Mus musculus: one gene and its partners. The protein of the gene in region 1 binds, or shares a complex with, the protein of each later gene. Links are inferred from orthologs where the notes say so. Each region holds a gene or a part of one and is shown in the gene's direction. Other genes may lie near its edges. The genes, in order: Cul3, Klhl22, Klhl25, Klhl12, Kctd5, Klhl21 and Klhl42.

What was found.
Region 2: the proteins of Cul3 (region 1) and Klhl22 are in contact, whole or in part, in a cryo-EM structure (PDB 8K8T), measured with the Homo sapiens proteins. The link is inferred for Mus musculus from reciprocal best matches to the Homo sapiens genes CUL3 and KLHL22. Residues at the interface, in NP_003581.1 of Homo sapiens: Thr14, Arg17, Ile18, Arg19, Ala20, Phe21, Pro22, Met23, Met25, Asn49, Ser50, Gly51, Leu52, Ser53, Phe54, Glu55, Tyr58, Tyr62, Leu66, Met118, Asp121, Ile122, Met124, Tyr125, Arg128, Val129, Gln133; in NP_116164.2 of Homo sapiens: Asp73, Tyr74, Arg76, Gly77, Met78, Gly81, Gly82, Leu83, Lys84, Glu85, Leu92, Ile93, His94, Leu117, Gln121, Val125, Cys128, Gln129, Gln131, Pro133, Trp146, Glu150, Asn151, Asp154, Val155, Arg157, Leu161, Phe162, Asp163, Ser165.
Region 3: Cul3 (region 1) and Klhl25 share a complex: the UniProt entries of both Homo sapiens proteins name them as parts of the BCR(KLHL25) E3 ubiquitin ligase complex. The link is inferred for Mus musculus from reciprocal best matches to the Homo sapiens genes CUL3 and KLHL25.
Region 4: Cul3 (region 1) and Klhl12 share a complex: the UniProt entries of both Homo sapiens proteins name them as parts of the BCR(KLHL12) E3 ubiquitin ligase complex. The link is inferred for Mus musculus from reciprocal best matches to the Homo sapiens genes CUL3 and KLHL12.
Region 5: the proteins of Cul3 (region 1) and Kctd5 are in contact, whole or in part, in a cryo-EM structure (PDB 8U83), measured with the Homo sapiens proteins. The link is inferred for Mus musculus from reciprocal best matches to the Homo sapiens genes CUL3 and KCTD5. Residues at the interface, in NP_003581.1 of Homo sapiens: Thr24, Met25, Asp26, Glu27, Lys28, Tyr29, Val30, Asn31, Ser32, Ile33, Trp34, Asp35, Leu36, Leu37, Asn39, Ala40, Glu43, Asn48, Ser50, Leu52, Ser53, Glu55, Glu56, Leu57, Arg59, Asn60, Ala61, Tyr62, Thr63, Met64; in NP_061865.1 of Homo sapiens: Trp45, Phe55, Leu56, Thr58, Thr61, Arg64, Asp65, Lys67, Ser68, Pro96, Thr97, Tyr98, Phe99, Gly100, Pro101, Leu103, Asn104, Tyr105, Leu106, Arg107, His108, Gly109, Lys110, Leu111, Val112, Ile113, Asn114, Lys115, Leu117, Val122.
Region 6: Cul3 (region 1) and Klhl21 share a complex: the UniProt entries of both Homo sapiens proteins name them as parts of the BCR(KLHL21) E3 ubiquitin ligase complex. The link is inferred for Mus musculus from reciprocal best matches to the Homo sapiens genes CUL3 and KLHL21.
Region 7: Cul3 (region 1) and Klhl42 share a complex: the UniProt entries of both Homo sapiens proteins name them as parts of the BCR(KLHL42) E3 ubiquitin ligase complex. The link is inferred for Mus musculus from reciprocal best matches to the Homo sapiens genes CUL3 and KLHL42.

Annotation. Positions count from the first base shown.
Region 1 is NC_000067.6:80,264,423-80,267,690, reverse strand, and holds the end of Cul3 (cullin-3), read left to right. Parts: intron 1-403; coding exon 404-535; 3' UTR 536-2,768; downstream 2,769-3,268. UniProt on the Homo sapiens protein: Core component of multiple cullin-RING-based BCR (BTB-CUL3-RBX1) E3 ubiquitin-protein ligase complexes which mediate the ubiquitination and subsequent proteasomal degradation of target proteins.
Region 2 is NC_000082.6:17,790,621-17,793,882, forward strand, and holds the end of Klhl22 (kelch-like protein 22), read left to right. Parts: intron 1-1,805; coding exon 1,806-2,171; 3' UTR 2,172-2,762; downstream 2,763-3,262. UniProt on the Homo sapiens protein: Substrate-specific adapter of a BCR (BTB-CUL3-RBX1) E3 ubiquitin ligase complex required for chromosome alignment and localization of PLK1 at kinetochores.
Region 3 is NC_000073.6:75,846,980-75,851,137, forward strand, and holds the start of Klhl25 (kelch-like protein 25), read left to right. Parts: upstream 1-1,358; 5' UTR 1,359-1,494; exon of another isoform or gene 1,495-1,505; intron 1,506-4,158. UniProt on the Homo sapiens protein: Substrate-specific adapter of a BCR (BTB-CUL3-RBX1) E3 ubiquitin ligase complex involved in various processes, such as translation homeostasis and lipid synthesis.
Region 4 is NC_000067.6:134,486,531-134,488,951, forward strand, and holds part of Klhl12 (kelch-like protein 12), read left to right. Parts: intron 1-479; coding exon 480-638; intron 639-1,113; coding exon 1,114-1,212; intron 1,213-2,404; coding exon 2,405-2,421. UniProt on the Homo sapiens protein: Substrate-specific adapter of a BCR (BTB-CUL3-RBX1) E3 ubiquitin ligase complex that acts as a negative regulator of Wnt signaling pathway and ER-Golgi transport.
Region 5 is NC_000083.6:24,070,686-24,074,647, reverse strand, and holds the start of Kctd5 (BTB/POZ domain-containing protein KCTD5), read left to right. Parts: upstream 1-1,162; 5' UTR 1,163-1,219; coding exon 1,220-1,471; intron 1,472-3,962. UniProt on the Homo sapiens protein: Its interaction with CUL3 suggests that it may act as a substrate adapter in some E3 ligase complex. Does not affect the function of Kv channel Kv2.1/KCNB1, Kv1.2/KCNA2, Kv4.2/KCND2 and Kv3.4/KCNC4.
Region 6 is NC_000070.6:152,007,496-152,011,690, forward strand, and holds the start of Klhl21 (kelch-like protein 21), read left to right. Parts: upstream 1-1,395; 5' UTR 1,396-1,447; coding exon 1,448-2,468; intron 2,469-4,195. UniProt on the Homo sapiens protein: Substrate-specific adapter of a BCR (BTB-CUL3-RBX1) E3 ubiquitin-protein ligase complex required for efficient chromosome alignment and cytokinesis.
Region 7 is NC_000072.6:147,089,809-147,093,874, forward strand, and holds the start of Klhl42 (kelch-like protein 42), read left to right. Parts: upstream 1-1,266; 5' UTR 1,267-1,723; coding exon 1,724-2,559; intron 2,560-4,066. UniProt on the Homo sapiens protein: Substrate-specific adapter of a BCR (BTB-CUL3-RBX1) E3 ubiquitin-protein ligase complex required for mitotic progression and cytokinesis. The BCR(KLHL42) E3 ubiquitin ligase complex mediates the ubiquitination and subsequent degradation of KATNA1.

The DNA of each region.
Region 1 (3,268 bases):
ACGCTATCCTACCAGGTTCTGTGAACTGGGAAGGTAACCCAGAAGTTAATAATATCATCAACATGATTAAACTATATTCTGGTATGTATTCAGAATACTGAAATCTAACTAATCCTCGTTAGCATCCATATTTTGACACAAAGAAGTATGTTTTTAAACATCCATTAAATTTTCAAGTAAAAGCTTTAAAATTTTTGTACTTTTTCTTGTCTAGTTCTTACCTCACATCCCCAAGTACTAAGATTATAGGTATTAGGCACCATGCTTGGTGCATCTAACTTTTTTTAAATCAGGTCACTAAATTTTTCAGCTTTAAATGGCATGTCGGCTCTAGTAAAAAGATAGGGATTTTTGTTTGTCTATGTGGAAGTGTTTTAGTTAAGACTTTACTTTTTCTTTTTAGGTAACTCAGCAACTGAAGGCTCGATTCTTACCAAGTCCAGTTGTTATTAAGAAACGTATTGAAGGACTTATTGAGAGAGAATATTTGGCACGAACACCTGAGGATCGCAAAGTATACACATATGTAGCATAAAATGCATTCAGAAATTTGATTTATTCTTGGACTGTACTCTTCGCATGGACTGGGAAGTTCTTTTAAATCATACTATTAAGACGACCATCTCTTCTGTTAAATTGCAGTACGTGTTATAGACCACTCAGATCAAGCCTCTACTCCCTCTGAGAGTTTTCAACATCAGTTGATTGAGCTTCAGGCTTTCCAACGTTATCCCTGTAGAGATCATCTTTACAGTTCCTCGGGAAAATGTGAATGTGCCGCGTTTTGTTTTCAATATTGTATGAAAACAGGAAAAAAATAAAACAAATTTAGAAAACACAGCTCATTAAAATAAAATTGTTGGATTTCATTTCCCCAGGTCTTCAGTGTTGATGTAAATGTGTTTCTGTAGTGTTGCTTATTAGCACTTTGCGCATTGTGTAAGTTGGGTAGCAAAAATGGCAAAAGAGATGCAAAATTCCCAGTTATCTTGCTCTGCTTGTGACATTTCCTTCGCTGGTATTGTTTAAAGGTTTGATACATATACAAAGACCCAGGCATACAATTGGCGCATGCTTTATCCTACCACTTGCACTTCCTAGTCTCACAGCCTTATGACCAAGGACCTTTATTTGGACATCAATACATACCCTGACTTGTTTTTCTCTATTGTAATCTGAGGTTTTCCAAATTAAGTTCTAAGATTATTAGGTTTTGCTCTGAGTTATTTCTAGAGAAAGAAAATATTTTAGTATGTATAAATTGTACAATAATTTTTTTGCTGTTGTACTTACTGCTAACAGTGGATTGTATAGGGTGGTGTTTTTATTTCATTTATTGTAGACAAAATAAATAAATTTAGTATTCACATACACACTAACTCAAGTATGTCAGAGCACAAAGGTGGCAGCTGGTTCTATTTAATTTAGTTCCTTTGAAAAGCACATCCATCCATTCTACCATTTGTTTATAAATATATCCCCCATCCCCCCACACACAGTTTAAATATATATTTTGGTGAAGCTGTGGTACACCATTAATTGTTTCAAAATGCAATCTAAAGATGCAATAAATAGAGTACCTTGATAGTTTGAAGGAATTCTTCAGTTCTTGCAGCTGTGTTTTAGAAAGTGATTAAGCAATATTTTTCAAACGTGGATATTTAGCTATCCATTGTCCTCTGAAGAGTCCTTTTCATGTTTTCAAAGATGTGCTTTGTGCTGAAGATTTGTGTGTCCGTTCCTCTGTGCTTCCAACTATCACTGAAGTCTTCTACCTGATTGATCTGCCAAGGATTATAGTTTGCTTTAACTTCAGAGTATTTTTATCTTCCATTTTATTTAATTTTGTTCCTTTTTCTTTTCTTTCAAGATAATGTTTTAGATATGTAATTGGGGAAAACCACTAGATTTCTGTCAAAAAAATGAAATGTTACTGAATTCAAGTAACCAACTCTCCATTGAATATCAATACTGTTGATATACTTATTAGAATGTATGTCTCAGAAGATGGTTTCTGTTAAATATATGAAGTTACAATTACTGAATTCTAATATGGATTAAAAGCTCCACATAAATATTTTCCCCATGCGTCTTGGATTATAATTTTCCTTTTAGACTTGCTTTTATTGCATTTAAATTTGCTTTTATATGTACTGTTAATTTTAAGTCTTAGGATCTTAATCTCTACATGTTCTCCACCTTTCCATGAGACAGTAAAGGTGTGGGCAGTACGGACAGGTTCTCGGTGCACCTTGCTGTGCTTGCACAGGTACGGTGGGACACTGATGGATTGCTTTCTGGTGTAAATAGAATTTTTACGAAGGAAGCTACTTTTAACAGTTTGGAAGTGAAGACAGCTCAGCTGTACAGATTAGGTCTAATGTATATGTAGGGACATAAAGGTTTGCTAATTGTTCTGGTAGATGCTTGCTTCTGAGTTAAAGTAAATGTATTTGTTGGGCAATGCTGGCTCTGCTACCTTACAAAATTCATGTGATGCATTTGGTATTTCTCAGCAATAGGTCATTGACATTTTTATCCTCTAAATGTTTTAAAAGAATAATGTGATGAGATTCTTTTTTGTGACTTGAATTTTAGGAAAGATGGATAATTTTTCCAGCTATAAAAAATGATGTCATTAATTGTTAAGTTATTCTTTGCTGTCATTCTTTGTGGGACAGCATTTTTTTATTTGTCATTTAAATATTGAAAATTTATTCCAATTAGGAAACAGCTTCACAAAATAAAAAATATGGTTGTAATTCCAAGGATTCTTTATGTCAGTGAACTACAAATGGAATTAAAGGGATGCATGTGTGGGGCATTGTGAGCACAGGGCAGGAAGGCACTGGTTCAAGATCTGGAAGATACTAATACGCCTTTGCAGTGAGATTCTCAAGAACAGTGAAGTAGCGCTGACGTTTGTTTCCTCAGTATGCAGGACAAACAGAAAGGCTTAGGTAAGAGCCAATGCTCTAAAGATAATGTGTACATTTCCAGAAACTAGCACCCTTACTGACACCTTAATTTCTCTATTTGGGTCTAAATTTTAGTATATTTAGTCTACACAATGACCTTTTCAGGTTAATTTTGAATATCCACTTTGATCAAATAATACAATATCTTGCCCTTGTCTGTCTACTGCCCTTTTGAGAGTAGCCTAAGTTTTCATGTTCCATGTTTTACACAGCATAAGGCTCTCTCATCTTAGAAGGAAAACCTTTGTATTATTTGTATTATGTTTTGCCCTATATGGTACTTCTTTATG
Region 2 (3,262 bases), on another chromosome or scaffold:
TTTACTGGATAACTGTGAACAGCCTTTCTTGGCTGCCTTCCTGCTGGTAACCACTTCATCTTCAAGCAGCAAGGGCAGGTGGAGTGAGTCTTCCTTCCTATTCCTTCTGGCTGCCTTTCCATTTCTTATTTTGAGTACTTACATAATTAAAGATGTTTCTCCATTCATGATAGGACTGTCTATCTATAGTCTTACAACAAGCTACAAAGTCCATAAAATGCTTTTTATATGAGCATGAGGTCCAGAGTTTGATTCCCCTACAACACACATAAAAATCTAAGCACCATGATGGCTGCTTGTAACCACAGTACTTAGGCTTGAAGACAGTACCTGAGGTTTGCTGGCTAGCCTAACCCAAATGCTGAGCCTGGGTCTCAGTGAGAGATCTTGTATCAAAAAAAAAAAAAAAAAAAAAAAAAGTAATTCCTGCGGAACAGCATATGGCATTGACCTTTGACCTCCGCACACATACAAATGCATATAACCACCCTTGACCCAACAGCTGTCATCACTTAGCACATGGAGTACTGTAGGAACTCTCAAAATGGAGTAGCTGTACTGAGTTAACTAACTCCTGAAAAGGACAAGTTCAAACTTGGAACCATGTTGTCTAACAAAACTTACATCAATGTAAAAGCTGAAAAACTATAAGTGAAACCTTCCTAAGTCAGAACTGTTTGTTGACTGGCCACAGTTGCTCACTCCTGTGCTCAGAGCAGAGCCAAGTAAGTCTCTGCAAGTTCGAAGCCAACCTGGTCTACAGAGATTTAGGCCAGCTAATGTTATGTATCTAGATCCTGTCCCAAACCAAAACTATGGAGTGGTCCACCCAGGAAATACACTTCCAACCCTTAATCCCATCTGTAAAGTCAGTTTTGCCATGTAGCATAACATGTTCATAGGTTCCAAAGGCTAGGATTCTAGGGCAAGGAGTATTATTTTGCCTATTGTAGCAAGAACCTTGATTTGCTTGCTTAATAAAGCATATAAGATTTTGCGCATTGTTACCTAAACCTACAGCCTCAGTACTTGGGAGCAAATAGGAGACCAGGCTAGCCTTGAGTTCACAAGTAGCAAGCCACCTGCTTCTGCCTGTCAGTTTTTGTTTAGCTTTTGGTTTTTTGAGGCAGGGTTTCTCTGTGTAGCCTTGGCTGTCCTGGAACTCACTCTGTAGACCAGTCTGGCTCTGAACTCACAGAGATCTCCTGCCTCTGCCTCCCAAGTGCTGGGTGACATGTGCCACCACTGTCAGGCTTGAAGAAGAGGGTTAAGTGTCTCTTACTGAATACTACTTACTTCCTTTTCTGACATGTGAGACATGCGCACCAGCTTTGCCACACCTTCACTTGCACTGGGTTTTATGGGTTCCTTCCCTCCATGGTTACTGGTTAACAGGGGACATTTTGGTGTTACGCTTCTTGGATTATTAATAGATTGAGCATTTTTTCTCAAATCTTTGTTTACTGCTTTAGCTATTTATTTTGCTTTGGTGGTCAGCAAGTAGCTGCTCCACACACTCCTCATGAGTATGAGTAAGGGTGCTTGCTGTGAAGGAAGAAGAGATGTCAGGTGGGTCCATGGCCTCCGCTCCAGCCTTTCAAAGGGAGAGAAGCAGGAGTGGATCTAGAGATGATGAGGGGAGGCATCTGGACTCTTAGGAGCTAAAGGATGGGAAGGCTAGACCACCAAGGTGAGCATCCTCCAGTGGGCCTGCTATACACCTGACCATGGGCAGAAGTGACTTGGGGTGGGCTGGCAACCTGTCCCAGAAGCTGCCTGGATTGACCCTGGTCTTGGCTTTGCAGGTGGCTTGCTACAGTTGTACATCTCGTCAGTGGTCATCGGTCTGCCCACTCCCAGCTGGGCATGGTGAGCCTGGCATTGCTGTGCTAGACAGCAGGATATATGTGCTGGGTGGCCGCTCTCACAACCGAGGCAGCCGTACAGGCTACGTGCACATCTACGACATGGAGAAAGACTGCTGGGAAGAGGGACCCCAGCTGAACAATTCCATCTCAGGCCTGGCAGCCTGTGTGCTCACCCTGCCTCGATCCCTGCTCCATGAGCAACCCCGAGGGACCCCCAACCGTAGCCAGGCAGATGCAGACTTTGCTTCTGAGGTGATGAGTGTGTCTGACTGGGAAGAGTTTGACAACTCTAGCGAGGACTAGGGCTCTCCCCAGTGTTTGGGTGTTCAGGAAGGGTAATGGGCAGTGAAGGCCGTAGAGCCTGGGTTAGAACACCAGGCTCTAGGGGAGGGGCCCCTCCTTAAGCCATCCTGGTTCACCAGCTGCCCCTTTCACTCTGTTTCTTCAACCAGCCAGCTGCCAGCATTTGTAAACTCTGTGGCTGTGAATTACATTACAAAGAAAAGTGCTGGGGGGAAGGCTGCTATCATCAGAGGGAATGACCCATCCTCTATAAACTCTGAATGAGTGGGATCTATTTGGCCGCTTCTTCTCCCTAGTCTGGTCCCTGATGGGTTAAGTAAGGTCCTTCTTTCAAGAGATCCTGGGGAGAGCACTCCTAGCCATAGCCAAAGTTTGTGGCTCCCTTTCTGTGAACCGTGGTCAGTCTGGTGAGCAGCGCCAGCTGCCTGCAGCCAGGGCCTTGAGCACTGGGGAGCTCTCAAGGTATACTCTTAGAGTAACTATATACCTGTAACTGGACCTGGAGATGAAGAGATACCCTCATTGCTCTGTGTCTGACCCAATATTGTTGAAAAATGAAATAAAGCATTATGCAAAAGGTGTTACATCTAATGTGGCTACAGTCTGAGTTTCTTTTCTCTCTAGTTACTGCCTCAGTGGCATCTAGGGTGGTACAGGCCAGCCTTCCTGGGGGATGGACTTGGCATGGGAATTGAGTCTCTGCACTAAAACCAGGGGGTCACTACCCTACTTCCAACATATGATAAGCTCCACAAGCAGAAAGAATGTTGGTCACACAGAAACCAGGACCTGAGCTACTGAGGTGGCAAGTAGTTGCCTGTCTCTCAGTCAGAACATCTAGAATGTCTGCCCTGAGGCTCACCAGCTCCTGCTGCCTCATATCCACTCTAGCTCCTGGGCAGCCTGACTCTAGCTGTGGTGCTGACCTAGTCCCATCCTCCTTGGGGAGCTCAAAATTGTTCGCCTCACTGCATGTCTAAGGCAGAAAGCTCCGAGGATTGGGGTGCAACTCAGCACTAGAGAACTTGCTTAGAATATCCATTTATGAGAATGGAAAGAATATGGAACAGGACAGTAGTGTCCTGGTCTGT
Region 3 (4,158 bases), on another chromosome or scaffold:
ATGTATGTGAGTACACTGTAGCTGTACAGATGGTTGTGAACCTTCATGTGGTTGTTGGGAATTGAATTTTTAGAGTCTCTGCTCGCTCCGGCCCAAAGATTTATTATTATACATAAGTACACTGTAGCTGACTTCAGACGCACCAGAAGAGGGCGTTCTCATTACAGGTGGTTGTGAGCGCCACTCCCCAGCTCATCTAGTAACTCTTAAATGAACTAATGGATGCGTTGGGCAAGTGTGATGTCTACTCTTGATCCTCAACTTGATTATATCTGGAGTAGCTAAAACCCAAGCAGCTGGGCTCACCTGTGAGGGATTTTTTCCTGGTTGGATCATTTGAGATAGGAAGACCCTTTTTTTTTTTTTTTTGAGCCAATTTCATTCTTTTTTTTTTTTCCATTTTTTATTAGGTATTTAGCTCATTTACATTTCCAATGCTATACCAAAAGTCCCCCATATCCACCCACCCCCGAAGACCCACCCTAAATCTGGGCACCTTCTAGCGGCAGCCTGGAAAAAGGACCTGGAAGAAGCAAGCTTTTGCTCTTTGTCTGCCCTTAAGTTTCACAGGTAGGGTCATTCTTTCATTGTATTATAGCCAACTTCTTCTGAATTCCAAGGTATACTGAAGACCAGCTGAAGCATCCAGCCTCGTGGACTGACAGTTGGACTCTCAGACGTTATATCCGGAGACAGCCATTGTTGGGCTACCCCGGCCACAGCCTGAAAGTTACTCTAATAAATTCCATATGTGTGTTGTATGTATGTATGTATGTATGTATGTATGTATAGATATAGATTTACTCTATCAGTTTTGTACCGCTGAGAGTTCTAATAGTGAAGGATATTTGAAGGGTTAAAAAAAAGTTTAGGAAGAAATTTCCACCGGCTTGACAGAACAGCTGAAGCTTAAAGTCCTCTCCCTTGAAATCTGGGAATTCCCAGTATAGACAGGGATTCGTGTCTGTAGAAATTCCCTCGCATCGAAACTAGCCGGGAGGGAAAAAGGATTTCCTTAACATAGGAGCGATTAGATTGCTGGTCTTTAAAAAGATCAACAACGGCTGTGATTCGGTAACAGAAAGAAGAATGCGTGTGATCGACAAAGACCTTCCTTAAGAGAAGCTCTAGAACAGGTCGTGTTGCTTTCTCCCAACTCTGGCCACCAGAACAGAAAGGCAATGGCCTGTCCCTTTAAGAATCTGGTGGCAGTCGCTTTCCTCTCCCCGCCCCGCCTTCCGCGGCACCGATGGCCTGGACGACCGTCCCTTTCTTCTCACGCGACTGTATTACGGGTCAGTCGACCCATCCGTCACAGAGGCGCGGTTTATGATTGGTTGCTGCGCTTCGGGCCGCGAGGCGGGGCGGGAAGGCCGGAGAAACTAGTTTGTTGGCAGCGCCCGTGCGGTTCGGCTACGGGATCGCGGCCGGGACTGGTGAGCCGGCCGGGGGCGGCGGCAGCGGCGGGGACTGCAGAGCCTGTGGGGCCGCACGGTGAGGATCAGGTCGGAACTTGTCACCGGGACAGCGAGCGATCCTGCTCGAGGATCGCCGGGCAGGGCGTAGGACCGCAGGCCCAGTTCACTGGGTCGGGGAAGTGGGTGCTGACCTGGGAGCGCCCCTCGATCGAGCTTGGGGACCCCGTACTGTTATGTTCAGAGCTCCCGCCAAGGGAATGAATTGTTTTCCAAACGGATGTTACGCGCAGGAGCGGCTACCCTCTCCCGGGAGTGTTTGATTCATTGAGTCCGCTGATTCTCTTTTTTAAAAAAATTACTATTGATCCTAGAAAGAGGAAACTGCTTGTCTTCGAGGATGCGAACCGTGCAGCTTTGTGCACACACCTAGCCAAGGTCCCCGCGACTTGCTTGTACCTAGCCAGGGCCGAGGGGTTAAACCAGGGAAGAGTAGACAGCAGGGCCTGGCCGTGTGGCCCGCAGCATAGGGTCCTTCCTGTCTGGAAAGTTGTCTATCAAGGGAGAGTGGTGACACTCCCGGAGCCATACGCCCCTACCTACCCAGGTGGTGGCCGATCTGGCAGGGCCGTAGCAAGTAGTCCACCCCCCCCTCCCCCCGCCATCCCATTCCCCTCCTCCCATGCGTTGCCCTGGCGCGAGAATTCCGCTGTGGTCTGCAAATCCCCACTGGACTAGTCTCCTTCATAGCTGTATTAGAAGCTTTTTCCTACTCGGGAATTGTGCCTACTGGGGCACCAGACACTTGGGTGCAAGTGCCTCAAGGACCTCAAAGTGGATTCTCACAGTCTTACTTTTTTTTCTTTTTTTCCTCTCCCGGTTTTAGTCTTGTTATAAACGTCAGGCCAGCCTTGAGCATGAAATCTCTGGTCCCAGTCTCCTGAGAGCTGGGTTTATAAGCAAGTGCCACCTTACCAATCTGGGAGACTTTCTAGAGACTCGAGCACAGGAAGTTGGGGGGAGGGGCGGACTCTCGGGGGCTTTGTAGTTCATCTGTACTTTGGGGAGACCAGAGGCCAAGTTGCTTTGGCCAAGGTTCATTGGGCACTAGTTCTCCCTCCATGCTCAGGGCAGGACAAGGTATGCCAGATGTCTGGGCTCTTCACCCCTGGAGTAAGACGGGGAGGGAGGGGCACTTGGCACCTGACCCTCTAGTTTGCTGAGCCTCTTTCATAAGCGGCACAGTTATGCTGGGAGGACTTTTTATGGGTGTTGCTGAAAGCTTGTGTCAGGGGACAGAGGAGGGAGGACCCACGGTGCTCTTATCCTACAGTAGATTTGGTCCCTCTAAGACAGGGTTGTGGAGATCACAGGCTTTGTCTGTGGAGATGGGCAAAGTCACTTTTGTCCCAGCCCTGTAATTATTGATATTTCAGCTGAGTCCTTTATCAGCAAGCCAGTCCAGGGAGATTGTTCAAAAAAATTGTGGAGGATGGACAGACGAAATCTTTTTCATGGGCATCGAACTGCAACTGGGTTCCTTGCGCCATGCAGCGGTGCAGGATCCGTGTGCAAGTTGTGTGTTCCACGGTGGCTCAGTTCCTGTTGATGGCATCTTAAGCCTGTGCCACCAGTGTAGGGAGAGAAAAGTAGGAAGACAAAAAGAAATGCCCCCGTGTGCGCTGTAAAGTAAATGCATCCTTCCTGTCTTAGAGGGAGGAGGGCGGCCTGGAGCAGTGAGCTTGCTATGTATGCAGAGACGGCTTTAGTCAAACTAATCATTTGAGCAGATGATATTGAGACCCTGCTTTCAGAAAGGAGGAGGTGCTGGCTCATGGATGGGGACCTTGATACATCAGTTTGCAGAACCCCAGGGAGCAGGTAACAGGAAGCTGGAGAGAAGGATGAAGGCTTCTTGGAGAGAGAAAAGGAAAGCCAGCATGAGCCTACCAAACCTTCATTCCATGCCCTGGTTGCAGCCATTTTTTCTAGCCATCCATCCACACTCTCCCAGGGCCAGCTCTAGGATGGGCAGCTGTCCAGGTTCATTGGAGGACCTGGCTTCCCAGCAGCTTCTGGGGGCTCCTGCTCACCAGCTCACTGCCTGGGCCCTGAGTTCTTTATTAGCTGGCAGTGTCAGTGTGCCCTGGGCAGGACACACACACACACACACACACACACACACACACACCCCTATAGAGCTGGCACAAGCCAACAGTGGTGGGCCACAAATGAATTGGCCGATTGAAATGCTAATGCAGTAAGTCCTCTAATGTGGTAAATTTCATAATTGAGTTGCCTTGCTGATCTGCCAGTGAATCCTTTTCGAGGCCAGGAAACACTTGGGAGCTATGTGAGGATGGCCAGGCAGAGGCAGAACTTAAGCATCCCAGCGTACAGAAACCGCATCCCAGCAGGACTTGTGATGAGTCTGCTGCTGTCTGGCTGCCACTGCAGGCTTTTTCTCCTTCTCAGCAACCGTGCCCATGCCCTGAGAACCCTCTGCTGGCACCAGCTCTAAAGACATCTGAAGCTGACACCTGCCTGCCCTGCCAGGTGTCTCTGGGGCTTGTTAGGACTTGGGAGCAGACACTAAAGGGACAGAAAGGGACTCTGAGGTTGGCAGGGCTGCCCCTTAAGTCCCTTCAGCACAGGGTGAGTGGAAGGAGCTCAGGCTCTGGTTGACCTGGGTTCAAATGCTGCCCGTGTCACTGTGAGGCCTCCTGGAGGAGGGTGTAGGTGA
Region 4 (2,421 bases), about 54 Mb from region 1:
TTCCCCGTGTAACTCACCCTTGTTTCAAACTTGGGCTTACCAGCATGGGCTTTAAATGCTTGTTTGTACTGCCTTTCTTCCTTCTGAGACTTACATGACTTACCATTTAAGTCACGTAAGTCTCAGAAAATATATACAAAATATACATTTACAAGAATGTGCTTATGTAGTATTATACACTACCATATATAATTAATATACACCATGGGAAATTTAAGAATAATAAAAATCAACTTGAAGAAATATAATAATTTGTTTGCCTGGGATGAGTTCTGAAATAGCTAAGGCTTAACTTAGTCTGTAGCCAGGAATGGCCTTGAACTCCTGAACCTCCTTCTGAACCTCCCAAGTGTTGTAATTACATTCATGTGTGCAGTCCCTCTTCCCCCATCTTAACAATGGGTAATTTGTAGAGATAAAAGTTGTTAGGTATTTTTCATTCTTAATTTAACAGTCTATAATTTGTTCACTCTGAGCAGATATGATTTACGTCTCTGGAGGCTTTGATGGAAGTAGGCGTCATACAAGTATGGAGCGGTATGACCCAAACATCGATCAGTGGAGTATGCTGGGAGATATGCAGACAGCTCGAGAGGGCGCAGGACTAGTAGTGGCCAGCGGAATAATCTATTGTCTAGGTATGAGCCTGGGATGGGGCTGGAGAGAGCTTAGTGGTTACAGACTCTGGAGGGCAGAATTAAGTGCATATACTTGCATCAACAAAAACTCTGACTTTTCTCAATATATTGTCCATGAATAGGATTATATTTTTCTTGTAAGCAATATGTAGGATGTTGCATATTCTCTGACCTGGACCTCTGGAAAAAATAGAACTGAAAGAATCAGTTGAATTAGGGCTAGAGAGATGGCTCAGCAGTTAAGAGCACTGACTGCTCTTCCAAAGGTTCTGAGTTCAAATCCCAGCAACCACATGGTGGCTCACAGCCATCTGTAATGAGATCTGATGCCCTCTCTTCTGGGGTGTCTGAAGACAGCTACAGTGTACTTACATATAATAAATAAATAATCAGTTGAATTACTCACAGAAGGCCAACTAAGATGAGCCTGGTAATCTACCTTTCTCTTTGGAATGTTCTCCACTTTGTCTTTCAGGAGGATATGATGGCTTGAACATATTAAATTCAGTTGAGAAATATGATCCCCATACAGGACACTGGACTAACGTTACGCCTATGGCCACCAAGCGTTCTGGTAAGACCAAACCTATGAAGTGATGGTTTAATTACTGGGTGTGGTATCAGTAGGACAGAACTGTAGTTCTTATTTCACTGTAGACCCATTGTGAATGTGAGTCACAGTCCAGTCTCCTCCACCTCTGCCTTCCCTACAACATTAGGATGAAGGAAGGTAGGTTAAACTTTGAGCTAGATTGTCCATTTGAGGACAGCGATTCCTTATTCTTTAGTACTTTTTTCTATTCTTGTAGTTTGACCACTAGCCTCATTTTGTGTGTGCAGTACATGTTAAATAAATATTTTTGTACACAGACCTGTTGAGGTCTATGTCTTTGCTTTTTGTACTCTTTGGATGTTGATGTCTTGCTGTTTTAAAGACAGGGTTTGCCTGTGCAGCCCCGGCTGTCCTGGAACTCACTCTGTAGACCAGGCTGGCCTTGAGCTTACAGAGATGCACCTATACCTGCTTCTGCCTCCTGAGTGCTGGGATTAAAGGCGTGCACTGACAAACCTGGCTGGACTTTGTTTTGAGGGTCCTACTGTGCAGTCCTGGCCAGTGTACAAGTTGCTATGAGGTGATCCTCCTGCTTCTGGCTTCAAGTTATACCACTACACTCATTGGTGATTTTTTTTTTTTAATCTAAGATCTCACTGTATGTAGTATATAGCTCACATTAACTTTAGACTCCAAGTAATCCCAGGATTGCACACATGTGACATATACCTGATAATAAATGGCAATAAGTATTAGATAAAATCTCTAATGCCTAAAAATAATTTTTTTTAAATTCTGAATACTGCACGCAGGGCTTTGCATATACTAGGCAAGTACTCTATCATAGAGGTACATCTAACTCTAACAGCTGAGAACTCTTAGTTGAATAGGCTGTGATGTAACTGCCTCTGGACAGAGATCACAGCAGAGCCATGGCCTTGGTTCCTCTCATTGTCTCTAACACAGAAGAGAGATAGACTGTGAGTTAGTGACAGCAGAGATGAGACCCATGTCAGTCTTCTGCTAGAATTTCAGGCCCTAACCTAAGGGTTGACCAATGCACACACTGACATTTGCTGTATTACACTGTTGTAGTGCTTTGACATGTGTGCATCCCTCATCTCCACAGTGCAGCCGTTAGCGGCCGTGTTTGTTACTGGGTTCAGATGCTAGGCTTACTGCCATTCATGTGCTGATGCTCTCTTTTCCCCAGGTGCTGGAGTAGCCCTA
Region 5 (3,962 bases), on another chromosome or scaffold:
GTAGCACCTCGTGGGTAGAAGGTAAGACAAGGGCCCTGACATTGAACAGGGCTGGAACCACTCTCAGAACCTCTGAAGATACCTAGCTTCTGGCCTAACACTTCAGGGTTATAAGTCAGAATGTGGAAAAATGGCCTGCAATGTGAGGGAAGCTGTTTCTGTCAAAAGCACTTTTGCAGCAGTAAGCAAATGAATTAACCAATATGAATACCTGAAAATTCCCTGTAACTCATTTCTTCCATATGAAGAATCCAAACTGAACAAAAGTTTTTACAAATAGCAAAATTTTCCCTCCCCATGTAGTCCACCCTAGTTTAATCATCTGGGTTAATGACTACAAGTAGGTCATTGTGCAGGTTAAAGCCACGACCATAGTGTGATTGGACATGTGCAAATTAAAAACTGTTACAGTATTTAGAGCTGCTGCGGCTGGTCCATTAGCCACGTACAGTAGGATGAATTGCTGTCATTCAGGTTGGTGGCAGTCAGTTAGAACATGTGTAATATTCTCTACCTGTTCTGTAGCTGTAACTGTGATGTACAGGCAAAGGAAAAATTAAAAATACTTATGAAAACAGATAATGCAATGATACTGGGATATACACTTTTGTATTTTTATTCTTATATAAGGTTATTTGCTGGCTATTGTCGGCCTCTAGTTCAGTCTGTGTTATTTAAATTCTAATATATGAATTATTTGGATTGAATTCATGTTTGGGGCCACGTTGTTGTATGTATTGATGTACAGCCTTGAGTGTGAATAATTATTGTAAACTATATTTTACAACTTTTTTCCTGGCTTTATTATATAAATTTTCTATTTGGTCATGGTTTAATCATATAATTTAATGAAACAACTTTTCTTTTTTTTGTTTTTTTCAAATATCTGTGCTTTAGATGTAATTACCGGATGATGGATTTCCCTCGTATGCTCGGTAGTCTTGTAATAAAAGCATGTAGAGTGTACACTTTGTTTGCCATGGAGCCTCTTTGAGTAGGGGCGGAGCTTGAGCCGAGGATGCTCGTGAGAACCCGAGACTTGCTCCGGCCGGAAGTGGTAATCTCCGGCCTGCTTTTCGAGCCGGAACTTCCGCCTTGCACATGAGCCCTGGGCGGGCACTTTATTGGGGCGTACCTATGGGCGGGACAACTCAGGGGGGCTGTATTAAAGAACGGACGCTTCCGGCGAAGGGCCGCTGTGGCGGGGCTTGTTAGGATCATGGCGGAGAATCACTGCGAGCTGCTGCCGCCGGCTCCGAGCGGCCTCGGGGCGGGGCTGGGGGGCGGCCTGTGCCGCCGCTGCAGCGCTGGGATGGGCGCCCTGGCTCAGCGCCCCGGTGGCGTGTCCAAGTGGGTCCGGCTCAACGTCGGCGGCACCTACTTCCTCACCACCCGGCAGACGCTGTGCCGGGACCCGAAGTCTTTCCTGTACCGCTTGTGCCAGGCGGACCCCGACCTAGATTCGGACAAGGTGAGGGCCTCGCGGGTCAGCAGGGGTCTGGCCGCCCTAGTCGCCACTCGCGACACACACCTCTTCACAATGAGGGCGCCCGGCGGAGCGGGCCGGAGGGAGGATGGCACTCTGGTACCCACCTGCCTCGGCCCTTTGGTTTAACAGTGCCTCTTTCTTCTTTCATGCTCTTCGGTCGAGAAGGACCCAAGCTTTGCTGTGGCCCTACTTTCTTCTCCCCAGATTCTTTTGCCCAGGGTGTGTGACCACCACCGCCCAACTATTTGCTGGCTTTGGAACCTGAGAACCCTTTGCATTCATCTGGTCTTTTCACATTCCAGACGTCTAAATTAACGTAGGCCATGGGGGTTGACACAGTGACTACCCTTTTTCCAGTGATTTGCAGAGTTTGTGCTTTATCCTTCTCATTCATAAGGACAGGCACGGCATCTCTTAGAAGGTACCACCTGAGTAGAAATGTTCAAAGGTGTCAGTTTAATTCTAATAAATGAATTATTTGTATTGAATTCATGTTCGGGGCCAGGTGTCAAAAAATCTTAGGGTTGTGAAAGAGACCAGGTAGAGAATCTTTTTCCATCTCCTTTTCAGACTTCATTTCCCCACCGCCTTTGAAAAGGGTAGGGATTTCCAGCTTAGTTTGTGGTTTGTCTATCTTTAATTTAATTAAACGCTAATACTGTTAATACCTGTGGTAATAGAAAGTATTTCAATTATTATCATTACAAAAGTTGTGTGTCGTACTGCATACTGAAAAATTAGTATTGTGCAGGATTGAAACTTAGGAACAAATCGTTCACTCCCCTTTCCCCCTAGGCAGTTTATTAGCCTTGTACTAACTGAGTTTTCTGGTTCAGCCTACATGATGGTGCTTGATTTTGTGCCTTGCCAGCCTGAAAGTGACTACTCAGGAGGTTTTCCAGAAAGATCGAGCCCATTGCACTTTAAACGGCCTAACAGAGCACCTTCTCAGTGAGGGAGGCCTGGCATTATGACCAGGAAATGAACTCTTGAGTTACTGCAAAATAATCAAGAAGTTAGAGTTTGAGATACTACTATGGTAGTTCTTCATATCCTTCCTCCCAGCTGTTACCATTACTGAGTTGACCAAATCTCTTCACTCTTAGAGGATTGCCTTCTAGAAAATGGCAGAAGTCTGACAGATAGAAATAGGCTTTTGTCAGTGCTGTTTCCTTTTTATAGTGAGGGTGTGTACTTTACGATTGGTTTTTCAAACAGTAGGCATTTATAGTCATTCTTGTTTTTCTACCCAAGCATCCCTGTCTTGTGTATTAAGTCAGATTTTAAGTCAGCCTTGGCCCTTGGCTTCTGGTGTCTTTTTGCTTACTTAGCACTGGAACAAGGTATATAGGGCTGTTTGACTTCAGCATAGTTAAAGTCAAATATATCTCTTCATTTTACTATCTTTTAAGATTACTTTATAAATTATCTTTATTGTGCTGATGAGATGGCACCTGCTGCCAACCAAACCTGAAAACTTGAGTCTCTAGGATCCACAAGGTGGAAGGAAAAAACTGACTCTTAAAAGTTAAACTCTGAGTTCAAGCACTTTGGGAGGCAGAGGCATGACGATATATAAGTTTGAGGCCAGCCTGGTCTACAGAGCGAGTTTCAAGACAGCCAGGTTTACACAGAGAAACGCTGACTCAAAACACAAACAAACAAACAAAACAAAACAGCTGGAGAGCAGCTCAGTGGATGAAAGTACCGGCTGCTCTTCCAGAGACCCAGGGTTCAATATTCAACACCCACATGAAGCAGCTCACCACTCTCTGTAACTCCAGTTTCAAGGGATCTAGCACCCATATAGACATAGGCAAGCAAAACACTAATGCACATAAAATAAAATGAGTCATTAAAATTTCATATACAAAAAAGCCTGGTGTGGTGGTGCACGTCTTTAATCCCAGCACTCAGGAGGCAAAGACAGATGGATCTCTGTGAGTTCCAGGCCAGCCTGGTCTACAGAGTGAGTTCCCACACACAGAGAAACCCTGTCTCAAAAACAAAACAAACAAAAAATTAAAAATAAAGTTGTACACTGACTTCTCAGTACTATTATGGTACTTGTGTGCCCACACACGTAAATAAATGTGTGTGTTTGCCTGTGTGTGTGTGTGTGTCTGTGTGTATGTGTGCGTTTCCTTTATTGCAGTGGAAGATTATCAGAATATATTTTAGTTGTTTTTTCTTTTTAAAGTTTATTATTTAGGAAGTAGAGAGTTGGCCCAGTGGTTAAGAACACTTGCCGCTCTTACAGAGGACCCGGGTTGGATTCCCAGACATTCTCTAAGTGACTTATAACCATCTGTAACTCCAGTTCTAGGGAGTCTGACACTCTCCTTTGACCCCTTTGCACCAGGCATGCGCATCTGAAACACTCATACACATAATGTAAAATAAATCTAAATTTTATTTAAGTAACATTTGATTTCTGAGTTATAAAGCCACAATTCAGATCATAAAAATAAAA
Region 6 (4,195 bases), on another chromosome or scaffold:
CTTGTGTGCCCGAGGCCCTTCATTCCATCTCCAGCAGAAAGAAACAAAATCCATACTCAGTTCCCAGCTGCAGCATTTAATCCTGAGGCTTCCTGCTGAGCTGACTCCCAGGAACTGCAGGATGTTCCTAGCAGCATCCCACTTCCTGGCTGCTCAGCCTGTCGGAAGGGCTGTGTGTAAGCTGGGCCAGCCTCCTGGGCCCAGGAATGCTGCTCTGCCTTTAATAGCTGTGTGAACAGTCCTTCTATGGGCAACAGGCGGTTGCCTGGGTACCTGCATGTTTGCCTCCTTAGAACCTGTGCTTCCCATGGTGACCCTGAAATTTAGACCAGAGGCATTCTCGTTGGAAAAGGAGGAGAGGTTCCTTGAGTGGAAAGCCTGAAAGGGTTTAGAAATGGAATAAAAGCAAATGTCTCCAGCCAAGGCTGTGTCAACCCAGGAATGACAGAGGACTGACTCCAGGGTGCTTGGGCAGGCTTGAGGCTGGAATGCTTTCAGAACGGAGGTGGGGGACAGTTAACAGCAGACGCCGCTGATGGCAGATGTTTCTCTCTCCACACTTGCCTGAAACCAAGTAAAGCAAAACCCAAATATGGCTTCTAAGTGGGGGGGCTCCTTCTCCAAGAGTACGTACATATATACATACATTACACGCATATACATACAAACAGCCCCCACTGCATCACCACTCAACTGTGACTGCTACCGGCTCTGCAGCTTTTCAAGGTGCTGCCCTGCCCGACCTTGAGCTGGACCCATTGAGCCACCCAGAGGACTGGGAGCCTGAGCGATCCCCAGCAGACCTGCCCCTACCCTTTCTGAGAAGCCTGCTCGGAAAGTAAAGCCACTGCTTTGCTGATGCGCTGGAAACTCAGGCATGAACACTGTGGAGCACATTCCTGGAGTCTGGCCCCACCAATTTGCTTAAACGCGCCAAGAATAAAGGACGACGACGAAAACCCATCGAATTTGTTCGTGTTTTGGTGCTGAATTGTGAAAATAGCGTTTGAAATCTGACTGGGTTAAGTAGCTACCCCTGGAGCCACTGAAACTAAAACATCGTCATTCCCAGATGTTCTGAAGTTCCCAGGAGCGCAATAGGGAATTTGAGACCAAAGGGGTGATTACGGATTCGGGCGCCAAGCTCGCCTCTCCAGACCTCTTTCTGCAAACCGCTGGGCTGGTGAGTGGTTAGCCCTCACTTGTCACCCGCCGTTCTCAGCGGAGCGTCAGCTGGAGACGACTGGAACCCCCGGAAGGGAGGAAAGGGGCCGGCGTAGGCGGCTGTGACTCAGACCGCAGTGCTGGGAACAGAAGGGTTAAATGGGCAAGGTTAGAGGCGCTCCGCCCCAACAGACCCCGCCCACGGAGGCTGCGGCTGGTCTGCGTATTTATAGAGGCGGTGCCGGACGCGCTGGGGCGTCCCTGTGACCCGCAGCTCCGCGTCATGGAGCGGCCGGCGCCTTTGGCTGTGCTGCCCTTCTCCGATCCCGCGCACGCCCTAAGCCTGTTGCGCGGCCTCAGTCAACTGCGCGCCGAGCGCAAGTTCCTGGATGTGACCCTGGAGGCGGCGGGCGGCCGCGACTTCCCCGCGCACCGCGCCGTGCTGGCGGCCGCTAGTCCCTACTTCCGCGCCATGTTCGCGGGCCAGCTGCGCGAGAGCCGCGCCGAGCGCGTGCGCCTGCACGGGGTGCCGCCCGACATGCTGCAGCTGCTCCTGGACTTCAGCTACACCGGCAGAGTGGCGGTGAGCGGCGACAACGCCGAGCCGCTGCTGCGCGCCGCCGACCTGCTGCAGTTCCCCGCCGTGAAGGAGGCGTGCGGCGCCTTCCTGCAGCAGCAGCTCGACCTGGCCAACTGCCTGGACATGCAGGACTTCGCCGAGGCCTTCAGCTGCTCGGGGCTGGCGAGCGCTGCGCAACGCTTCATCCTGCGCCACGTGGGCGAACTGGGCGCCGAGCAACTGGAGAGGCTGCCGCTGGCGCGCCTGCTGCGCTACCTGCGCGACGACGGGCTGTGCGTGCCCAAGGAGGAGGCGGCCTACCAGCTGGCGCTGCGCTGGGTGCGCGCGGACCCGCCGCGCCGCGCGCCGCACTGGCCGCAGTTGCTGGAGGCTGTGCGCCTGCCCTTCGTGCGCCGCTTCTACCTGCTGGCACACGTGGAGGCCGAGCCACTGGTGGCGCGCTGCCCACCTTGCCTGCGCCTGCTGCGCGAGGCCCGCGACTTCCAGGCGGCTCGCTACGACCGGCACGACCGCGGGCCCTGCCCCCGCATGCGTCCGCGCCCGTCCACCGGCCTGGCCGAGATCCTGGTGCTGGTGGGAGGTTGTGACCAGGACTGCGACGAGCTGGTTACGGTCGACTGCTACAATCCGCAGACCGGCCAGTGGCGTTACCTGGCCGAGTTCCCCGATCACTTAGGTGGGGGCTATAGTATCGTGGCTCTGGGCAACGACATCTACGTGACGGGTGAGTGAGTTGGTGGATTTCCAAGAGAGATATACTCAGGACCTGGCATTCTAGGGCCTGACCTAACCCTTGGCAGGGCTACTTCCTTAAGTTCTCCATCTGTTTTTAAGCTAGAAGAGCCCCCCTGTACGAGCAGAGACATAGCTCCTTTGTGGGTCTCTGTGCTCCTTGTGGTACAGTCTGCCTTGTTTAGCCAACTCCTTGCCCTGAGGTACCTCCCTCTTTTGAGTTGGAAAAGACCGGGCTTTGACCTGGCACAATGGGTGCTTTCTTTTAATCCCCAAGGAATGTGGGGACAGGATGCAGGCTGGCGCCTGGTGAGGCATCTTTCCCTCCCCAAAGCAGGGACATTTCTCCCTCCCTGCTAAGCCACAGGGGCCTCCTGACTCAAGGCTTTGTCACCAGTGACCAGGTTTCTTAAGAGCCCGCACCTAGGCGTTGCACTGTGGATCACATGGTATTTAGGCTGCACTAGTCTACGACTGTAAACATGGTCACATGTTGAGAGATTTTCTTCCACTTACTTGGCTGAAACCCCAAAACACTGCCGAGTCACGGTAGGCGGGCCCCAGCCTGCCCCAGTACTGGGCTTCTCCCACGTTTTTTTCACTAAGGATGAATCCCTGATCAAACTGTAGGGAGGCTACAGGAGGCCAAGAGGAATGGCCTCTGGAACTGCTATATAAGGAAAGACCACTGAGGCCTCTGGCCCTATTATCAGGCAGGCAGGCATGAGGCTGGGTCGTCACGGGGGCCGTGCTTAGGGTGGCACATTCCACATAAAGCCTACCCTGATGTTGCTATGTCGGAACAGAAGAGGGACACATCCCGTCAGTGTCAGTTCTGACCAGCCGCCCTGAGTCCAGCTCTCTGCTGAAGCCTGCCAGTGTGTATCCCTCTTTAACAACCTGAGACCGACTCTGTGTTGTTTGGGGTTCCTCCCTTGCCACCCTGCCCCCATCTCCTCCGAAGTCTGGCTAGTGATTTTGAGCAGAGAACGCCTTCCCAGAACTGGCCAGACTCGCCCTTGGATAAATGTCACAGCTGAACAGCTAATCAGGTTTAGGCAGGTGGCACCGTCCTGGCATTCAGCTGCTGGTAGGGGATTTTCCTGCCGGTCAGGAAGCCGCTTCAGCTGCTTTGCAGGGTCCCTGTAAAAGGCCCACAGATGCCTCAGACTCTCCTTCCTCAAAAGCTCCAGGCTGAGAGACAGACAGAATGTCTCTGTCCTGTTTAAGGCGGGCGCCAGCAGGGAAAGCCAAGGAGCACAGCCTCCAGGATTCCTGCAGTCTCCTGATAGCATGAAAGTTTTGTAGTCTTACATCTACTTTACACACTGTTTTGTAAGACAGGGTTTCTCTGTCCTGGAACTCTCTCTGTAGGCCAGGTTGGCCCAAACCTCACAGAGATCTGCCTCTTTAATAGCCTTTTAAAAAAGACTTGTACACACACACACATATCAGTGCCTGTCATACTTGTATAGCTTGATAAGAATTTCAAGTGAAACGTGCCCTTGTGCCCTCCACTAAAGTGCAAACTAGAATGGCAAAGTATATGGAGGTGTGGCTTGCTGTGTTAGGTCTCTTGGGGAACGCTGTGTATTCTCACCGTGTCCTGGCACAATCCTGGTTTGAAAGTGCCCAGGAAGTCTAGGATTTGGTGGCCAAGTCCTATGTTTGCTGTGTACCGGGAAGAGCCGCCCAGAGCCAAGGCTTGGCTGTTCTGAG
Region 7 (4,066 bases), on another chromosome or scaffold:
ATAGCTTAAATACTTTGTAACAAAGAAGTTTATATGTATTTGTCTTTATGCCCAGCTTTTTAGAACACTGTGTGGTTTACTGAAGTTATTGGATCTTTTAAGATGCCCCATCGTATGGCCAGGGGTTAAAATCTTGCAGGAGCGGTGCCCAGTATTGTCAGGTACCACTTCAGATTGCAGTCCAGCTGACCTCACTGTGGTAATGTGACCAGGGTTGAATTGCCTCTCTAATGAGAATCATTCTCAAAGGTTGGCTTTCTGGTTTGTTTTAAAAGGCAAGAGAATACCAGTTGGTCTGGAAACAAAAGCTTCCATTGGTAAAGATTCTAAAGAGCCAGAGACTAAGAGCCTGTTCTTCTGGTGACTCACTGAATCCTGCCTTGCTGATGGAGGCGCAGACAGATCCAGGTCCAGCCTTTTTTAAGTCAGCCCTCCCAGAAGCCCCCAGCCTGATGTCTAATGGTAGCTGTGGCATTTTGCCTTGCTGTAGAATCTACTAAATCCTTGGCCCCTCACCTGAAACCCTCCTCATACCCCAAACACTGAGAGTGACAGATGGGGAACGGAAGCCTGCCAGGAATGATTGCAGGCCTGTCAATCACGGGGCTGTGTTCCAAGTTTCTCAGAGTATCCAAGAAAGTAAGGCATAGCAAGCCTCAGGTCCATGTGTTGTGTCTCTTTCCCATGGGAAGGCCGGATCCTGCTAGAATGTTTTCTGTACTTCATAGTTCCTTACCTTTGTGTGTATTCTGCAGAATATAATGGCCGACAGCCCTCTCTCTGTGAAGCAGCCGACGGACACAGTAATGCTGGGGAATGCAAGGCAGGGCACCATGGGTACCAGGGCAGACACTATCGCTTCATTACAGCCTTTGGGATCCAGCCTTCTAACCAAGCGTCCCGCCAGGGAACATAGGAAAATGTTCTTTCCTAACAGCTATGATGGGATGGTGGTGGTGGGGTAGATAGGGATGAGAGCGGGCAAGTGCTACCCAGAGGGGACAGCTCTGACGCATCTTCATCTCCGCATCCCCATCTCCGCATCCTCTCCACCCACCTGCCCTTTTTGCTGCTCAGAGACTCTGCTGTCTTGGTGCTGGGGTTTGAACCATGCCACTGCCTGCCTTCCTATCTGTCTGTCTTGTCCATGGAGTTAATAACTCTTCTAATAAATTGCTTAGCCCTAGTAATCCGTTAGTCCACTCTGGAACCACCCCGCGGATCTAAAACCTCGCAGTACTGACTGGCCCAGGAAAACTCACACAGGGACTGTGGGGCTGCGGGAAACACCAGAAGATCAAGTACGGTGACTTGTGCGTAGGGGGCGAGCACCGCGAACCGACGCGTTTGTTTGTTTCCTAACAACACCGTGCTGGAGAAATGCACAGTGGTTAAGAGTGCACACTCCTGCTGCGGAGGACAGGAGCTCCGTTTCCGCGTAGGGCAGCTCACAACCGCCCTTACCTCAGGCTGCAGGGTGATCTGCCGCCTTTGGCTTCCTGGCACCTGCATTGTAGCGGAGGAACCCACATAGACACATGGATTAAAGATCAGAGAGGCCGTTTACTCGGAGGGCGTGTGACGCACCGGCGGGGCTGAGCCCGGGGCCCGCGGCCCGCGGCGGCGGAAGGAAGGAAGCGAGAGCGCAGGCCGGGCTCGGCGGAGGCTGTGCGCCCGGGGGAGGAGCCTGAGCGGCCGAGCGGCGGGGCGCAGCGGCCCAGCCATGTCGGCCGAGGAGATGGTGCAGATCCGCCTGGAAGACCGCTGCTACCCGGTGAGCAAGAGCAAGCTGATCGAACAGAGCGACTACTTCCGCGCGCTCTACCGCTCCGGCATGCGCGAGGCCGTGCGGCCCGAGGTGGGCCCGGAGGTGCAGCAGCTGCGCGGCCTGAGCGCTCCGGGCCTGCGGCTGGTGCTGGACTTCATCAACGCGGGCGGCGCGCGCGAGGGCTGGGGCCTGAGCGAGGACGAGCTGGCCGAGGCTAGTGTGCTGTCCGAGATGGTGGAGGCCGCGTCCTTTCTGCAGGTCACGGCGCTTCTGCGCTTGCTGCTGTCGCACGTGCGTCTGGGCAACTGCCTGGAGCTGTACCGCCTGGCGCAGGTGTACGGACTGCCCGACCTGCAGGACGCCTGCCTGCGCTTCATGGTGCTGCGCTTCCACCAGGTGCTGTGTCAGCCGCAATTCCCGCTACTGTTGTCGCCGCCGCAGGCCCCCGGGGACTGCAGCCTGAAGCAGAGGCTGAGGGAGGCCCGCATGCGCGGGACCCCGGTCCTGGTGGCCCTGGGGGACTTCCTCGGGGGACCCCTTGCCCCGCACCCGTATCAGGGGGAACCCCCGTCCATGCTTAGGTACGAGGAGACCACGGAGCGCTGGTTCCCCCTGGCCAACAACCTGCCCCCCGACCTGGTGAACGTCAGGGGCTACGGCTCAGCCATTTTGGACAACTACCTCTTCATCGTGGGTGGTTACAGGATCACCAGCCAGGAGATCTCTGCCGCACACTCCTACAATCCCATCACCAACGAGTGGCTGCAGGTGGCCTCCATGAACCAGAAGCGGTAAGTGCAAAGGGGGTGTCTGCACCCTTCATTCATTGCCCTGGTGTTTGCTGGCCAGAGGCGATGGCATCTTGCTTAGTGCTGCTGGCCTGTCGCCTCTGGCGGAGTTCCCAGGGAGCCCAGGGCTTGCTAGGAAGAAGACGAGTACTGTGTCAGCTAGCCTAGTGGTCTTCTTTCAGGTGCAGGCCCCAGGTAAGAATGGTTTCTCTGCCTTAGACCGGCTTGCAGAGAAGGCTATTGGGAAAGATAACGGTTGTTTTTCCTTCGCTTTTCTTTAACTTGTCTGACCCGAATTACGGAGACACTAGCAGTAACTTGTAATTCTGGCTTCAGAAATTTTTGTTGTTGCTGACAGTGACTTTGGATCCTTCTCACTTGGGTAGGAGAGCGTGCATCCCCTCTCCCTAGGATGGTGTAAGGGATTTGCCAGAGAGGATTCTCTTCTCTTTTCATCCTCACTTTTGTTTCTTATTTCCTTCTAAGACGGCAATCATCTTTGACCCAAAACTTGAGCCTGGAGCGGTCAGCTACAGAATGGGCGTACCCTTGTCTCTCCAAGTCTGTTGTCTATCTGGGATGCCTCAGACTCCCCGGTCTGGATGCCTGAGTCCCTTGTGGGTAGCTTTAGCATGTACATATAAACCCTACATATACACCTATGCATATATACATTAGCGCATATATATATATATATATATATATATATATATATATATATATATATATATATATATATATACCCTCCTGCATATGTTCAGATGGTTTTCCTTTATCTTGGTATGTTCCTCAGGCTGGTCTTGAACTCCTAGGCATGAGGGTCTGCCATCCTCTGCCTTCCAGCCTTCAGAGAGCTGGGACTAAAGGTGTACAGTACAGTATTGGCTTTCTACAATAAATAATCTGTAACTTATAACTTCAAATGTAAGGCATCTACCATGTCAGTGGTTGAAGGAATGACAAAAACCAACTCGTACTGTTCAATTTCCCCCTCTTATGGCTTGAAGATGCATTCCTTTCCACTTCACCCATCTTTCCCAAGTGGCCTGGGGGACAAGTCAGGGCTTGTAGAGAGGGTTTGTTGCCCCAGCTGCTTGGAAGGCTGAAGCAGGCAGATTCCAAGTTAAAATTCTTCCTGGCCTTCAGAGTGAATTCCAGGCCAGCCTGGATAATGTAGCAAAACCAGAAAGAGTAGGGGAAAGGTGTCTTAGAGGGATAGCACTAGCCTAGAATTTTGAGGCCTCAGATTCAATACCAGTGTCCCAGCAGTAGAAAGAGTAGCCAAGGACAGGATGGGCGCTCTCTCTCTCTCTCTCTCTCTCTCTCTCTCTCTCTCTCTCTCTCTCTCTCTCTCTCCCTCCCTCCCTCCCTCCCTCCCTCTCTCTGTCTCTCTCTCTCTCTCTCTCCTTCCCTCCCTCCCTCCCTCCCTTCCTTCCTTCCTTTCTTTTTTTTTTCTTTCTTCTCTTCTTTTTCTTTTTTTCAGGCATAGTTTCTCTGTATAGTCCTGATT